2 linked regions of the Pelodiscus sinensis genome follow. The protein of the gene in region 1 binds, or shares a complex with, the protein of each later gene. Links are inferred from orthologs where the notes say so. Each region holds a gene or a part of one and is shown on either strand. Other genes may lie near its edges.

The links.
Region 2: the proteins of AP3B1 (region 1) and AP3M1 are in contact, whole or in part, in a cryo-EM structure (PDB 9C5A), measured with the Homo sapiens proteins. The link is inferred for Pelodiscus sinensis from reciprocal best matches to the Homo sapiens genes AP3B1 and AP3M1. Residues at the interface, in NP_003655.3 of Homo sapiens: Leu60, Lys64, Val67, Gly68, Ile70, Ala71, Lys72, Gly73, Ile92, Glu93, Lys96, Leu97, Val100, Arg104, Glu107, Asn128, Gln129, Leu130, Arg137, Arg143, Ser163, Pro164, Tyr165, Lys168, Asn169, His172, Gln175, Lys176, Leu202, Ser206; in NP_001307192.1 of Homo sapiens: Met1, Phe15, Leu16, Glu17, Trp20, Lys21, Ser22, Val23, Gln26, Val42, Glu43, Asn44, Val45, Pro46, Pro47, Val48, Ser50, Tyr55, Ser58, Ile59, Tyr60, Gln71, Thr72, Glu73, Val74, Pro75, Pro76, Leu77, Phe78, Ile80.

Annotation. Positions count from the first base shown.
Region 1 is NC_134716.1:86,592,530-86,600,639, reverse strand, and holds the start of AP3B1 (AP-3 complex subunit beta-1), read left to right. Parts: upstream 1-4,936; 5' UTR 4,937-5,387; coding exon 5,388-5,524; intron 5,525-8,110. UniProt on the Homo sapiens protein: Subunit of non-clathrin- and clathrin-associated adaptor protein complex 3 (AP-3) that plays a role in protein sorting in the late-Golgi/trans-Golgi network (TGN) and/or endosomes.
Region 2 is NC_134718.1:7,351,340-7,359,315, forward strand, and holds the start of AP3M1 (AP-3 complex subunit mu-1), read right to left. Parts: upstream 3,168-7,976; 5' UTR 3,149-3,167; coding exon 3,037-3,148; intron 2,989-3,036; exon of another isoform or gene 2,916-2,988; intron 2,897-2,915; exon of another isoform or gene 2,721-2,896; coding exon of another isoform or gene 2,609-2,720; intron 1-2,608. Other genes in the region: ADK (adenosine kinase), read left to right, coding at 3,428-3,489. UniProt on the Homo sapiens protein: Part of the AP-3 complex, an adaptor-related complex which is not clathrin-associated. The complex is associated with the Golgi region as well as more peripheral structures.

The sequences.
Region 1 (8,110 bases):
CAGCCAGCAAGTAGGATAGGAATGGGGGTGCAAGGTCTGTGTGGGAAACCAGGCAGAGGAGGGAGTGAGGGTGCAAGGTCTGGATGGGAGGTAGGGTGCAGAAGCAGGCCGAGAGAGAGAATGTAGGAGCAAGCTGGGGTGCGGAGTCTCGGCAAGGTGGATGAGTGAGGGGGATTGGAGCATGGCGGGTTTGGATATGAGGGGGGGTGAGCACCCCGCTGCTCCCAATCACTGCTGCCCAGCTGCTCCCATTGCCTCTGAACAGCACATCACTGCACTGCCATTCCCTGGGGTGGAGCTCAGCCCTCTCCACACAGCGGGGAGCCTGCACAGCCTTATGGACATAGAACCATAGAAGAGGAAGGTTGGAAGAGACCCTAGGGGTATGTCTGTTCTGCGTCTGTTGAAGCAGCCCATTATTTCAAAAATAGATTTCGAAACAATGGGCGGCTTATTCTGACGTCCTGAGGGGCATTTTGGAATAGCGATTTATTTCAAAATGTGCTGCTGTGTAGACAGTGCCAAATTACAAATAAGCTATATCAAAATATCGTGTAGCACAAATTGCGTAGCTTATTTTGAGCTAAGGGTGTAGACGCACCCTACGAGGCCTTCTGGTCCCATTCCCTGCTCCACGCAGAATCAACCTCAATTTGCCTGGGCACTCATTAATAGATCTCAAAGTCACTGTATTATTTCAAACCAATTTCAAAAGCCAGCTCAACAGGGAAGCTACAGAATTTAATTTCATTTACAAATTTGATTCCTACAACAGAGGTCTAAACAGAGGCATTGGCTGGATAGCCCACTACATTCCACATCCTAATGACATAAAAAAAACAAACCAAGGGTACTTAAAGTGGGTAATAAGTATTCTTATCAACTTCATTTAGCATGGACACTCTGACAATTCCTCCCCCCACTTTTTTTCTTTTTACCTTCTCTTTTCCCCTCTCTCTGCTAATTACAGGCAGTCCCCGACTTACGCGGATCCGAATTACGTCAGATCCGCAGTTACGAATGGGGCTCCGCCGGAGGACACGGACTGCGGGTCCTCACGGTCCTGCCGCCCGTATACTCTGGGGCTTTCTCTGCGTCTCCCTGGTCTGCAGACCAGGAAGACGCGGAGCAAAGCCGCGGGGGGGCTCGGGCAGCGAGGCAGCCCAGGCGCACCTGGGCTGCTCCGCTGCCGGCTTACCCGAGGCTTTGCAAAGGCTCTGTCCCGCTGCTGGCGTCCTCAGAGGCTTTGCTCCCCATCTCCCTGGCAGACCAGGGAGACTGGGAGCAAAGCCGCGGAGGACCCAGGTGGCGGGACCGCGGTGCGTCTCGGTCCGCCGCCCGCGTCTTCCTGGTCTGCTGGGTTGGGGGGGGCGCAGCTAGTACGCCCCCTCCCCCTCAGCAGACTAGGCTTTTCTCCAGACGCCTGTGGCAGAGCAGCTGGGGCGCTGTCGGTTGGTCCCGCAGCGCCGCTCTGGGCGCTACTGGACCAACCCAGCAGCACCCCAGCTGCTCTGCCCCAGGTGTCCTGATTCAGCCGCTGCTGGTCAGTTTCAGCAGCGGCTGAATCAGGACGCCTGGGGCAGAGCAGATGGGGTGCTGCTGGGTTGGTCCAGTAGCGCCGAGGAGCGGCGCTACTGGAGCAACCCAGCAGCACCCCTGCTGCTCTGCCCCAGGTGTCCCCAAGTCAGCTTCTGCTGAAACTGACCAGCGCTGACTACAGGAAGCCCGAGGCAGAGTTGCTCTGCCCCGGACTTCCTGGAATCAGCTGCTGATCAGTTTCAGCAGCAGCTGACTTGGGGACGCCTGGGGTTCTTAAGTTGATTCTGTATGTAAGTCAGAACTGGCGGTCAGTTTCAGCAGCGGCTGAATCTGGACGCCAGTTCCGACTTACATATAGATTCAACTTAAGTACAAACCTACAGTCCCTATCTTGTACGTAACCCGGGGACTGCCTGTATTTGAAAACTGGACTCCTTAAACTCCATTCATCTGAAGAAGTGGGTTGTACCCATGAAAGCTGATACCACCATCTACATTTTTTTGTTAGTCTCTAAGGTGCTGCAAAACTATTTGTTGTTTCTTAAGTTTTTCCAATCCCAAATAAATCAGCCATCTCGCTGCCTTCCTTCCCATCCCTCATTTGGGCATTACAGCCTCAGAGCAGCTAGAGGGGGCCTTTTCCTAAAGGTCAGGCTCAGCTCTGGTGCTCTGAAGAAGTGGGCAGTGCCCACGTAAACTCATGATACCATCTACATCAGCGTTTCTTAAATTTTTAAGACCAAGGAACACCAAACAGTATTTTTTTTATGAGGGAACACCAAGGATTTTTTTGTTGAGAAAAAAAATGCCCCCCAGGGAAAAGTTGAGCCCTTTAAGGGTGGCCATTTTGAATTTTGTTCTCTCTGCAGCACAACTCCGACTGCCACTTTAAGAGATGCTGAGCTACATGTTTTGTTAGTCTATAAAGTGCTACCAGACCATTTGTTGTTTATCCTTATGCAGTTGGAAGGCAAGCGGGGGAGAGGCAGGGCAGCATGCTGCTATCCTCAGAATAACTGGCTGGGGATAGTCCAGAGCCCCATGGCACACTGGCATGGGCCAATCTGCAGCACAGTTGCCAGCTCCTTTGCATCGCTGCAAACTCCCTGGCACCAGACCAGCCGGTTGCATTGGGGCCTGCTCCTGCAAAATGCTCCAGATTTTGCAAATATCCCAGTGCACCCCTTCCCCCACCTTCAAGCACTATTCCTTGCTGCCTTTTTGCAAGAAGTAGGTTCCTCCACCCCCCTTCAAGGTTAGATCCACCTGCCAGTGCATGCAAAGGAATCCAAATTGCAAATGGAGTGGAGACTTTTCAGCCCCATTCTGAGTGCTATTTGCAACCCGGGGGTGCTGCCAATCCACTGTGCCCACTGGAGAAAGGTGCCTATTGGAAATCTGGGAGGACCTCCCCCCAGCTTAAGGGGAGGGTCCACTGAGCCCAGGAAACCAAGTAATTACTTGGGACAAATAAAAAGAAAACAGGGACGGGCGTGAGGGTTAAAGGGCTAAAATAAGAGAACCGGATGGGGACACCGAGCAGAGAACCCCAGACAGCGCCCACTGCCCCTCGAAGGTCTCGAGAGAGCCAGAGGACGCTGCCCAGTGGAACTCTGCCCGGATACGTGAGCAGACACAGGAATGGAAATAGGCCCCTCCCTTGGCCAACCTCTGCTCCCTGGTCTTACAAATTACCGTCTTGGCAATAGCCAGGAGGAGGTTGACCAGGAGGTCCCGCGACTTTGTGGGGCCTCGGATGGGGTGTGCGTAAATTAACAGGTGAGGGGAGAAGTGTAGCCAGAACCTCAACAAAAGGTTCTGGAGGAGCTGAAAGAGGGGCTGTAACCTGGCGCACACGAGGTAGACGTGCGCCAGGTTCTCCCTCTCGCCACAGAAGGGGCAAGTGTCGGGAATGGGCGTGAACTGCGCCAAATACACCATGCTCACAGCTCCATGCAGGATTCTCCAGCTGATGTCCTCAGTGGGCCTTTGAACTAAGATGGAATAGAGACTGTCCCACCTGGGCTCCCCACCCTCTATTGGTGGTAGGAGGTCCTGCCACTTGGTGTCTGGGCGGGACACAAGGGTGGGGAAGTGTGCCCACTGGAGAAAGGTGAATGGGCAGTGAGAGCCTGTCCTGAGCTTCCTTGCTGCACCAAGCCAAGCACAAGTAGTGCTCCTGCATGGCCCAGCCAGCACTGGAGCCCCTTTACATTTCCTCTCTCCCCCCACCATGTACCTTAACGAGCTGATGGAAGGGATCTGAGCTAAGCTCTGCACTGCCAGCATGAAACCCACAGAGCAAGTCAGGGAAATCCTTCTTGCCCCTAGGGTTGCCAGATGGTTTAACAAAAAATACCAACCTCTCCCCCCCCCCCCCCCCGCAAAAAAAACCACGCTGGAAAAAAATTCTGTTGAGGAAAAAAAAAAGTTGCTCTATCTTTAAATTCCCTTGCTCCCCCCACCCTCCCCAGACACGGCAGGGGGAAATCAGAAAATACCAGACATTTTACATGAATATTTTTTGTTTCTAACCAGAGGGAAGGCGCAATTACCGAACTGAAACCGGACACCTGGCAACTCTATGTTGCCCCCAACCCCGAGCCTCCCCTTGCCCATCAGGCTGGAAACACCCCCACTGGGCTCTACTTGCAGCCTCTCCCTGTTTGAGCCCCTTCCTTCCCCACCCCCTCCTAAGAGAGGAGAAATCTCCCGCCTCTGTACCGCCTGCCTACTGTGCAGAAGCCTGCGTGAGCTCCCAGATGCATGGGGGGTGGGGGAGGAAGAGGGTGCTGAGTTCGAGCCACGGATCACCTGTAAGGCAGCCGTGGACTACTAGTGGCCTGTGGACTGCACTTTGAGAGCCACTATAGTAAGGGATCAAAAGTCCCTTACACGGGGTAGGAGACTGAGTAGTGGCTGCATAGCTTGCAATGCAATCATACAGAAGCCACTATCTATGTGCCAAACATGCCCCACTCTCCCGTACAGGTGTTACAGAAGGAGAGGCACCACAGTGACCACACACTAGAAGCTTGCAATACAGGAATGCACAGCTACATTGCAAGACTGGGGCTTCGGTAGACTGGTCCATTTACAAGAGGCTTCCAGGGTGCACTGCAGGAGCTAAAATTGCAAGGACCGCGGGCTTTGACTACAAAATCCTTGTTCCCACGGGGAGCACGGGCGGTCCAGGGCCTAAGTGAAATGCCGAAAGTAACCAGTCATAGGAAGGTGGACTCCAGGTTACCAGTGGCACCCAGCTGCAGTGCGATGCTTCCCAGAGAGGCCGAACGAAGGGGGGAGCAGGGGCTGCCGCTATCCGACCTGTGCTGCGTGGGGCTAGGCCGCGGCTCAGCGAGGCGGACGCAATCTCCGTGTGCTCCGCACGGGTACGTCTGAGCCCCACCGCCCGCCTCCTTACGGACCGCGGCTCTGGGAATCAATCACCGCCGCCCTTCGCACACACCCTCCTGCTGGCGCGCGGACCGGGCGTCTGCGCGGCTTTCAAGGGCGCAAGCAGAACCCTAGGTAAAGCCCCGCCCCCCCTGGGCGGCAGTACGAGTCCAGACTGTTCCTTTCCGCCCCGTCCTACACGCCACGCCAACAGCCTGGGCGGAGCTTCACGTGCCTTCTCACGTCCCTTCCTGGCCAGTGGCAATGGGGTTGTCATAGGAACGTTAGAACTCTGAGGCCGGGAAAGTTCCGCTCCTGCAGCCCCGCCCCATCATGTGACGCCTGCACCCTCCAGCCCCAACCGCTGCCGTTAGCTTCCGGGAGGACTCCGGTGCGCGCGTCACTAAGTTCCGTTGGGCAGCAGGCGCCAGAGGAGCCGCAGCAGCAGCAGCATGTCCACGAACAGCCTCGGCTACAACGAGCAGGGCGGAGAGGCGGCGGCGGAGCTGGGGCAGGAAGCGGCGGCCTCTCCCGCAGCCCCGGCCTCCGTCCCCGCGGCCTTCGGACTCTTCAGCAGCGACACCAAGAAGTAAGGGAAAGGGGGCGTGGCGTTGGCAGAGGGCGGGGACAACGGGGGCTGAGGATCGGGGCTGAGTGGAGGGCGTGCGGGAGTCCGGCTGCGAGGCAGGCAGGCGGTCGGTCGGTCGGTCGGCCGGCCGGCCGGCCTGGCGTACGCTGCTGGTTACCGCGTTCCTGTGGCCAGCTGCATACGCTGAATGAGACTCGCTGGTTGATCGACCCAGCTCACACAACTTCTAAAATGCAAGTTCCTTGGGCAGCTGGAGGCACGACCATGAACGTACCCAGAACAGCAAAACACGGAACGCCAAGTGTCATTTTAGAACCGGCCGGTACCGACGTTTCCATGCAAATTATGACATGCGAGCTACCATCCAAATAGACTATGGTAGTAAATCGGTGACTACCTTTTTTCTGGTTGCCATATAAAACATTTAGCTACTGTATCTGTTTAAACAGGTGGTGCCTTTGTTAATGGATAACAGAAATACCCTTTCAAATTATTTTAGTTTGTAGTTCGTCAGCAGTTTTGTGCTTAAAACCCGTGAAAGATCAGTTTCTTTATACAGGTAAATAAGCCTTCCAAAAGGCGCAGGTATTCTTACTGCATGGTTGTAGTTATGATGTTGTAACAAACATCTACATGGGTTGGTGTTAAACATAATGCGGAAGATGTTTAGTTGTATATTGTGGTCTCAAGACAAAACTGAGACACTAGAAAATTGTTGAATTTATCATGGAAACTAAAGGCATATTATCCTAGAAAGTTAGCATCCTCTTAAACAAATCTGGAAGTTAAGAGAAACATTTAGTATTAAATTGCTGAAAGACAAGGTGGATGAGGTAATGTTTTATTGGACCAATTTCTCTTATATTCCTGAGGAAATTCTGTGCATGATGTTTTGGGGTTCTGCAAATTTTATTTGTCAATAAATTTGGCGGCACCAGCATAGCAGTGAATAGCAGAGGTGACTTGCTGTATGAAGGTAGATCATCCTGTAGCCCCCTAGAACAGTGGTTTTCAAAGTGCAGTCCATGGACAACAAGTGGGCTGCAGCCACTTTATAGGCAGTCTGTGGCTTGAATTCCGTTCCCCTCCTCACTAAGGATGTTAAATTGCAGTTAATTTACTATTTGAGTAGTCAAGGGAATTTCTATTGAGTACTCAACTAGTCAATAGCCAATACCACATTCCACCAGGGGGCTCTTGTACATTTCAAAGGAGGAATGCAGAACACAGCATGCAGCGGGAAGTTTCTCTGACTCTGGGCTGCACATGGGCATGCTAGTTTGAAATGTACAAGAGTCTCAGTGGGGGCTCTTGTGCATCTCAAAGCAGAAGTGCACTCACGGAGTCCCAGGGTCAGCGGGGAACTCCGCAGCTGACTGCATGTTCTGCATGGCATTTCCCGAGACCTGTGGACTCCCCAGCTAATCATGGGTTTCGCAGAAACGCTGCACAGAGCCTGGGATCAGCGGGGGAGTCCCCAGCTGACCCTGGGCTCCAGGCAGCGCTGCTGCTTTGAAACACTGCCTTAGTATTTCAAAGGGGCAGCGCTGCACAGCTGATCCTGGCATCAGCTGTGTGGTGCTGCCCTTTGAAGTACCCCCTCCGTCCCCCCTTTGCTGCCTCTATCTGACGGGAGGGAGGGAGTCAATTAGTCTTTAACATCCTTACTCTTCACCTACTCAGTGGGAAGCCTATGCTGTCACTCCAGTCACATGGTTGCCATGCAGCCACAAGTCTGGAGCACCAGCTCTCGCTTCCTGCTTGGAGTGGTGGTGGTAGAAAGGTGAAATAAGCCCTAAACTTCCTTGCCCGACCGGGATCACGGAGACAAGCAAATCAAGTAGTGTGGGGGGCGGGGCAGGGGAGCAGCAGCGCATGGAGCTGCTTGCTCTGCCTCTTTCCACGAGCTGTGTCTGGTGGGAAAGGTCAGGGCTTTTTTCACCTCTTACCTCCCCCTCCCCTCCTGCATGCACTCTTTCCCTGGTGCTCCAATTGGCTGACCAATGGGAGAAGCGGGAGGTGGTGCTTGGGAGAAACAGAGGTGCAAAGCCAGGTAAGCTCCCCCCTCATGCCAAGATTGCATACTTCCAGCTTGCTCTTGCATCCTCCCTTGCTCCTGCACCCTCCCTACTGGCCACACTCAGCATCCTCCCTCCTGGCTAGACATCCTACAACAAGCACCCTTCTGCACTTCCACCTGGCTCCTGCACCTCCCCCCTGGCCAGACATCCTACTCCCAGCCTGCTTCTGCACCCTACCTCCCACTCAGACCTTTCATCCTTGCCCCTCCTTGCACCCCACCTCCACTCCAGATCCTGTACCCCCATCCCTATCCCACATGCTGGTAGCCCTGTTCCACACACTGAACCCCTCATTTTTGTCCCCACCCCAGAGCCTAAGAGAATCCACAAAATCCACTAACTGTGGAACCCCACAAAAGTAAACCTGGCCTATGGGAAGCCCTGAACTTCAGTCCTCCCTGTCTCTTCCCCTCACCCCATGGTGCTAGAGTGCCAGAGGAGTAAGCTGTCTCAGTTTGGGGTAGGGATGTAATAGTGTAGTTTATTAACCAATATGCAAAGCTTA
Region 2 (7,976 bases), on another chromosome or scaffold:
GCACAGGGCAGTACTTAAAATCAGTACTTTTATCTTCATTTGGATAGGCTGAGAAAGGGGAAATAACACATTTTAAATTTTTACAAAAACTGAAAATTGACAGACTCAAGAGCATGTGTAACTGCTTTTTAAAAACAAAAAGCAAAGCCCCAGAGAAACAACATATCATGCTGACTCTGTTCTTTTAATAAGCTAGAACAAGTAAGAGTAACACCTTTACATAGACAGAGGGGATGAAAGGCTTGCTGACACTTTAAAAATTAGCTCTCCTGAGAATCAGGGATAGTGTTTTCAACTCAACAGAAGTGGAGGGAAAAATAGTACATGGCAGGGAGGGAGGACAGATTGGCTGCTGACCAGACAAGAACATGGCTGCTTGCTGATACAAGTAACCATTAGTGTGAGCAGAACAGAGAAAAAGGATGGTCTTGTTAGTTAAGGTTCTGGGATTCAAGCAGTGTCAATTCCATTCCCCATCTTCTACATGCTTTTTGTATTTGTCATCTGAAGAAGTGGGTTGTGCCCATGAAAGCTCATGATACTAGCTGTATTTTTTGCTTAGTCTCTAAGGTGCTACATGACCATTAAAAAAAAAAAATTAGATACAGACCAAGGCAGCTACCCCTCTCAGCATTTGTGTGACTGTCAGCAAGTCACTTATCACCTCACTTCTGCATGTGTAATCAGTCATCCCCCCCCCCCTTTGTCTAGACTTAGACTGTAAGTTTATGGAGAAGCAATTTTCTCTTAACATCTGTACATTCCACTGAAGATTCAGTGGGTACCCACTGAAAGCTGGATCAGTAGGGCTACTGGAATGAAAAACAGATCAGTAACAGGAAAGGGACTAAGCACAGAGAAAGATGACTCTGAAGCTAGTTGAAACAAAATACAGGACCATGTAGCACTTTAAAAGACTAACAAGATGGTTTATTAGCTTTCGTGGGCCAGACCCACTTCCTCAGATCATATAGCGGAAGAAAATAGTCACAACCATATATACCAAAGGATACAATTACAATAAAAAAAAAAGAACACATATGAAAGGTAGTATTCAGGCTGAAGCTAGTATTCAGGCTGTGTGTCATGAGGGACTCTTACAGATTTTTTTTTTTTTGCACTGGTGCTATCACCGGTGAAAACTGCCCTGCTGGGAACCCTAATGATAGCAAGGTGCTCATGGAGCTTTTTTATCTCCATCAACAAACTCCCCACAATAAACCTCAACATGGTTCTGGAAAGGGCTGTTTAGAAACTGGAGCTGTGTATAATAACACTCCCAACATTAGTGCCATTAGACAGATTAGTAATTTTCCCCTGGAGTATACAAGAGCCACTTGAAATTAAGCTGCAGCACTTTTCAATACAGTTCAAACGCACCAATTACTGACAAATTATCAGCAAATGTTAAATTTCCTAACAGACAAAGCTTCAGAGAAACCAACTGTTACCAACAAACTATTATTCTGCTGTTAATAAACTGAAGGCAAGGCAACACCAAAAAGAAAAATATGCAATAAACCTAAATAAGCACATGACCTATTTTAATCCCCTTTCTATCTTCCTGTTCTCATGCCATTGCTCATCACCTATACACACAGAGGGGGAGAGAGAGAGAGACAGACACTAAAATCTTTTCAGGGCAGAGACATGTATTTAGTGATCCTATATCCTGCCTAGCAAACTTAGCTGCTTTATAAATAAACTCTTTCACCAAAGAGCTTGACATAATAGATCACTTTGCTTAATATGTTATATTTCCAGAATATCAAGATTGTGGATTGCAATATTCTTGAAAGATTGCTTCTATGAAATACGTGTGGGTGTGATGATTAGTGAATGGGTCAGTTTAAAAACTTTTAAATAAAAAAATCCAGACTATTAAAAGACTACAAGAATTTGCTTCTGTATGCACATTTACTTATTCAATTCAGACAACAAAACCAACATGCACAAAGCGCTGCAGTGACCCGTTAAGCACTCAGTGCAAACCAAAATGTACCCATCCCACATAAATCTAGTGTTTTCATTTCTAGCTTACTTATCAGAAATTTAAGTGTTAAGACATTAACCCCAAATTTTTGCGTTTATATAAAATATATAAACGTCTCCTGTTTTCATTCATAAATGGGAACCTAAATATGATAATGGTGATAGATATAAAAGTTAAACTGTAAAACAAGCCTATTCATGGGGAAAAGGTTTCATACAGAGATTAATGTATAGAGACTAGGAAGATTAGTAGCAATTCATTTTCTTTTACACCACGGAAAGCTTCCGGGATCCAAAGTTAAACTCATTTGCAGTTATAAAGACAGTTCTTACGAGTGAAATACAATCTGAAATCCTAAGACTCAGGACAGAGCAAATTAAAAACAGACTCCGATATTAGATCTCATTACGGCACACTTATGGAGGGGAGAAAGCAACAGCTCCATGGATTAAAATACATTCAAATGTTTTAAAGTGAAAGGAGTTAGTGAAACTGAAGTGGATCTCTGCTCGACTTCGGGCTGTTGAGAATTTTTTCAGTAAGTTTGACCAGTCAGGAGATATTACCCAGCCGGACTGGAACACCAGGAAACGACACACCAAAGATTGGAAATACCTTCGATTGCTCCCGAACCTTCCCTCCAGCGCAGGAGAACCCCGGACCCACCTCGGCACGCCTCGTTTGGGGGTGAAGACAGCCCAGATGCTATTGCTAAGCCCACGTGCATTGCACTCCACAGTTAGCCAGCCAGGCAATCAATTCTCACGGGCAGCAGCGCCCGGATCCCAGGGCTGCGTGCGGAACAATGGAGGGACCATGGATTTCTAGGGGATCCGAGCTAGCTGCCACCAGGCCTTTGTCATGCAACCCCCCCACCCCACAAGGAGAGCAGCCCCGAGTGGCGGGGCTAACACATATTCACCTGCAGCGCCCCGAGCCCCGCTTCCCCGCAGCACAGCGGCCCCTCTCCCCCCCGCCAGCCGTGGCAAATATGGCTGTGAGGACCCGGCCCGCCCCATGCCTCCGCCCCCAGCTGCACGCACAGGTGGCCGTGGGGCTGCCTCCAGCCGTGCGCAAACCGGGGCTCCGCGTAAGCCGCTTGCAGCCGCCCCCGGGGGCGAATGCGCTGGAGTCCTTTGATGATGATTTTTGCATGACGAAGCAGGGGCGGGGGGGACCCAAATGCCCAGGCGGGGCTGGTCCTGCAGCAGGAAAAGCGCCTGTTGCAACTGGTCCAGCCGGAGCCGCGTTATTTTCACAGCGGGCACCCGGCTCCTCTCCACGTCTCCATCAGGCGCGCGGAGGCCCACTCTGCCGCCCCCCCCCTGCTTCCCCTCCTCGGCTCCGCCTGCTGCCGGCCGCCTGTCGCCCTGGTTGGAAGCTGCTGCAAGAGGCTGCCGAGAAGCCCCGGGGCTGCGCTGCTAGAGCCTGAGCATGAAGATGGCAGCGGAGGAACCACAAGCCAAGAAGCTCAAGCTGGACCCCCCCCAGCTTAGGTAATTGGCGAGGGGCGAGGGAGAGACTCGGCTGCACCCCGGGGGGGAGCGGGCAGCACAGCATAAGGGCGAAGTGCAGCCTGAAAGTCAAGCCGGGAGAGGCGCAGAGGAGGGCGGAGCGCACGTGCGCCGGGGCTCTGGTGCGACTTGCGGGCACTCGGGCCGGGGTCTGGGGAGGGGACGTCGCCAGAGCGTGCGCCCAAAGGCATCTCGAAGGACTCAGCGTTGCTTTTGCGGTTGCACATTAGCGCAGCCGCCCTCTCTGATACTTGTGGATATTAGAGTTGCCGGCCGGCTTCTTTTCCTGCCTTCTTTTCTGCAACACGTGCACTGGGATAGGCTCAGGTGGCTTTGTAGGAGTTGAATTTGCTGCCATAGAATAGTGATAGAAATGTAGCCGTGTTAGTCTGGGGTAGCTGAAGCAAAATGCAGGACAATGTAGCACTTGAAAGACTAACAAGATGGTTTATTAGGTGACGAGCTTTCGTGGGCCAGACCCACTTCCTCAGATCAAATAGTGGAAGAAAATTGGCACAACCATATATACCAAAGGATACAATTAAAAAAAAAATGAACACATGTGACTTGTCCTTTTCATATTTGTTCATTTTTTTTAATTGTATCCTTTGGTATATATGGTTGTGACTATTTTCTTCCACTATTTGATCTGAGGAAGTGGGTCTGGCCCACGAAAGCTCATCATCTAATAAACCATCTTGTTAGTCTTTAAAGTGCTACATAGTCCTGCATTTTGCTTCAGCTGCCATAGAATGTGTGTGTGTCTGTGTTTTAAATACCCCCGGTACCGGAGATTGGGGAATGGAGTGACCTTTCCTCTTTCTGAACCCTAGGGAAGGTTGCTAGATTTAGGTCGCTCTTTGGGGGTGTTGTTTCTACCGACCCTCGACTCCAGTCCTTCATTGGATCACCATTGCACCTTAAAGTGTGCCGGTCCCGGAGGCAAATGTGAATCAACGGCAAATCGCAGCACAAGGAACAGAGAACTTGTTTGTTAGTGAGCAGTGGATTTGATCTTTCTGTACAACAGGGCAGGAGCTGGGGGTTTCCAGTATCTCTTCTGGCACGTGGTAGTATCATGCATCTTGCCTTGCCTGAGATCTTGTTCTGAATGCCAGGCATTTGGCAGTGTCATGTGCTCTGTGTGTGTGTGTGTGGGGGGGGGGATTATTACACTTTTCCTTCTGTCACTCATAGCCAGATTTTATCTAAAACCAGATGATGTCCCTACATAATGCTCTGAGTACGGACTGAGGCACTTCATAACGGCGCCTAGGTTCTTCCTAGCAGTTTGGAATATTGGGGACAGAGAGAAAATGGGATGGTTGCAAAATGCAGATCAGTAAGTACTAACAGTTCAGCAGACAGCTGTGAAAGGAACAGTGTCCTTTTGAGGAAGCTGACAGTAGGAGCCGCAGAGGAGGAAAAAAATGCAAGTCTGCACTAATTCATTCAGTGACAGCATGGATGCCGCTGCTGGGTGTCAGGAAGGACACACTGCTATTAAGCATCTGAAGTAACTTCCTCATAGATGCCTGGGAAGATATTTGACTACAGGTTGGCCCTCCCTGGTCTGGCACCCTCGGGACCTGACTGGTCCGCGGACAAAGAAGTTCGGTGAACCAAGGGAGGCCGGGGGAGGAGGGTATCAGCCTCCTTGCAGGGCTCCTGTCCCCAGCCACTGGCCCCTGCCAGCTCCAGCACCCCCACCAACTCCATGACACTACAGGCTCCAGCAGCCCCACTGGCTCTGCAGGTTCTGCTGCCTTGCTGGCTGCAGGCTTTGTCAGCTTTGCTCACCACTGGCTGCAGGCTCTGCTGCCCCATAGGCTCTATGGCCCTGCTGGCCTGCGAGTTCTGCTGCCCCACTGGCTAGCTTTGCTCCTAGCCACCAGCAATCTCTGCCGCTGGGGCGCTCTGGTCCAGCAACATCCCGTGGTCCAGTGTTGCCAGACCAGAGAGTCCTGGACCACAGAGGTTCAACCTGCAGAAGCTGAAAAAGGGCTTAGAGATCCCAAACTGGGAAGCACTATATAGACATGCAAAGTGTCATGATTATTATTAATACGATGCTTTAGGGAGAAAACCTATTTTAAGAGACTAAAGCTATCCAGTACAATGGCATTCCTTGCTTTGTATATATTCTGTTAGCACCCAGGAACCTCCAACTGTATTTGGCACTGGGTCCCTGACCCAAAATTTTTTTCCCATCCCAATGTGCTTTTCCTTGCCGCTCCCATAGCAGCAGAGGGCTTGGGAGTGGCAGGGGGCAGGGAGCCACATGTGCCCCCAGAAGCAGGGCACCAGGTAAGTGCTCCACCTCCATCCCCCTCTTGTCCAGAGCCCCAGTGCCCTCTGTGGGCTGGCCAAATCTTGAATCCAGCACACCCTGTTTTGCAGGGTTGCTGGATTAAAGAGGTTCAAGTGTAGTATGAATAGACAGGCAAAACAGGGTGGAGCTGGGTTGAAATGAGGATACAAAATGATAACTTTTACTAAAAAATAGAAATTTTAGCGTGCTGCTTGTTTAGTCATTGCTAAACAGAAGTGATTTGCAGGCATCAAGGCAGAGTGAAGTATTAAAGATGGATTTAAAGAAGATAAGATGGCAGCACTGCAAATTCTGGTGGGGAATTTCCCCATGCATGGGAGACTGCATGAGATGCTTGGTACCCAGTCAGGCCAGGGAATCTACTATCCTTGGCAGAACACAGGCCAATGACTCAATCCCATTATGAAATACAGGTTTAGGTGGTTAAGAATCGTTTTACCTTTCGGAAATCAGAAAGCCAAGTTAACAGCTATTTTTCTTGTTATTGTATAGGTCTGAATGTAGGGTTGAATACTTGTTGTTCTCAGTTGTACGTATGGGATATTTTGATTATGAATATCTCAGGTGTTTAAAAAATGAATAAAAGACAAGGATGAAGTGACAAGTTGGTGTGAGTTCAGGTTTCCCATTTGTTATTTAAACAGGATTTTGGAATGGTTTAAACTTCTAATTGATTTATGCAGAGCTTATTGTAGGACATTTAAAAAAACCCTCACTCATCCATAATGAGAGCTCCACAACACTAGCCAGATTTCAGTGTTAATTCAAATTATATACCAAGCATTGCTGCATGATACCGGAAATACTTTTTCTGTTATCTGAGGAAAATAAGTTAGTTCAATGTAGGGATGTAAAATTGCAATTAATCAACTGTTTAAATGAAATGTTTAACCAGTTAATCGTTTAACCAGTTAATCGTTATCCTGTGGGCAGGGTACTGCTCCAGCCTAGCCAGACTGGAGAGCCTCCCTTCTCTCCCCCCTCCCCCCCCGGTGATATATTGTGGTTGGTCCAACTGGTGTGGAGTACCCCCCCTTTTTTCCAGTATGCCCAAGATACAGTGGGGCCAGGACTTCCACTGCACTGTAGCTGGACAGAGTCCCACCTGGGCATGCAGGAGAGATGGCTGCTGGCGGGGTGGAGGGGGGGGTTGCCCAGCAGGGCCAGTAGGGCAGTGGGGTTGGTGGCAGGTGGTGGAGCCTTCTACTGGTTCAGCAAACTCCCTCATCCAGGACTAGTTAGGTGCCAGAGTAGGGAGGTCCAACCCATATTAAGTAAAGGTGCTTTAACACTGGGATGAGAACAGTCATGACAAAAAGTCACAGATGACCTATTCTTTCTAAGGGCTAATTTACACTGCCACTCTTCTGCGCTGTAACTTTCTCGCTAAGAGATTTTGACCCCTCCTGCCAGCCCTAGCACAGCAAATTACCATAATGTAAAGCACCAGTGTAAACAGGCTCCTGGTGCTGTTAGCTACTCCCCTTGTGAAGGTGTTTTATGTGGAGCTCTGGGAGAACTCTGTCCCAATGCTGGTACCATGACTACCCCAGACAAAACCCAAGTTAAGTTTGACATTTTTTGTGTCAGTGCATCTATTGGGGTACAGGCAGTCCCCGGGTTACGTACAAGATAGGGACTGTAGGTTTGTTCTTAAGTTGAATCTGTATGTAAGTGGGAACTGGCATCCAGATTCAGCCGCTGCTGAAACTGATCAGTTTCAACAGCGGCTGAATCTGGACACCAGTTCTGACTTACATACAGATTCAACTTAAGAACCCCAGGCATCCCCAAGTCAGCTGCTGCTGAAACTGATCAGCAGCTGATTCTAGGAAGCCCGGGGCAGAGCAACTCTGCCTCGGGCTTCCTGTAGTCAGCCGCTGGTCAGTTTCAGTAGCGGCTAACTTGGGGACGCCTGGGGCAGAGCAGCTGGGGTGCTGCCGGGTTGGTCCAGTAGCGCCAAGGAGCGGTGCTGCGGCAGAGAACCCGGGGCCGGACCCGCGGCCGCTTCCAGATCAGCTGGAAGCGCCGCGGGTCCGGCCTGGTCCTCCGCGGCTTTGCTCAGCGTCTCCCTGGTCTGCAGACCAGGGAGACGCTGAGCAAAGCCGCGGAGGACCTGGCTAGACCCCGGCGCTGA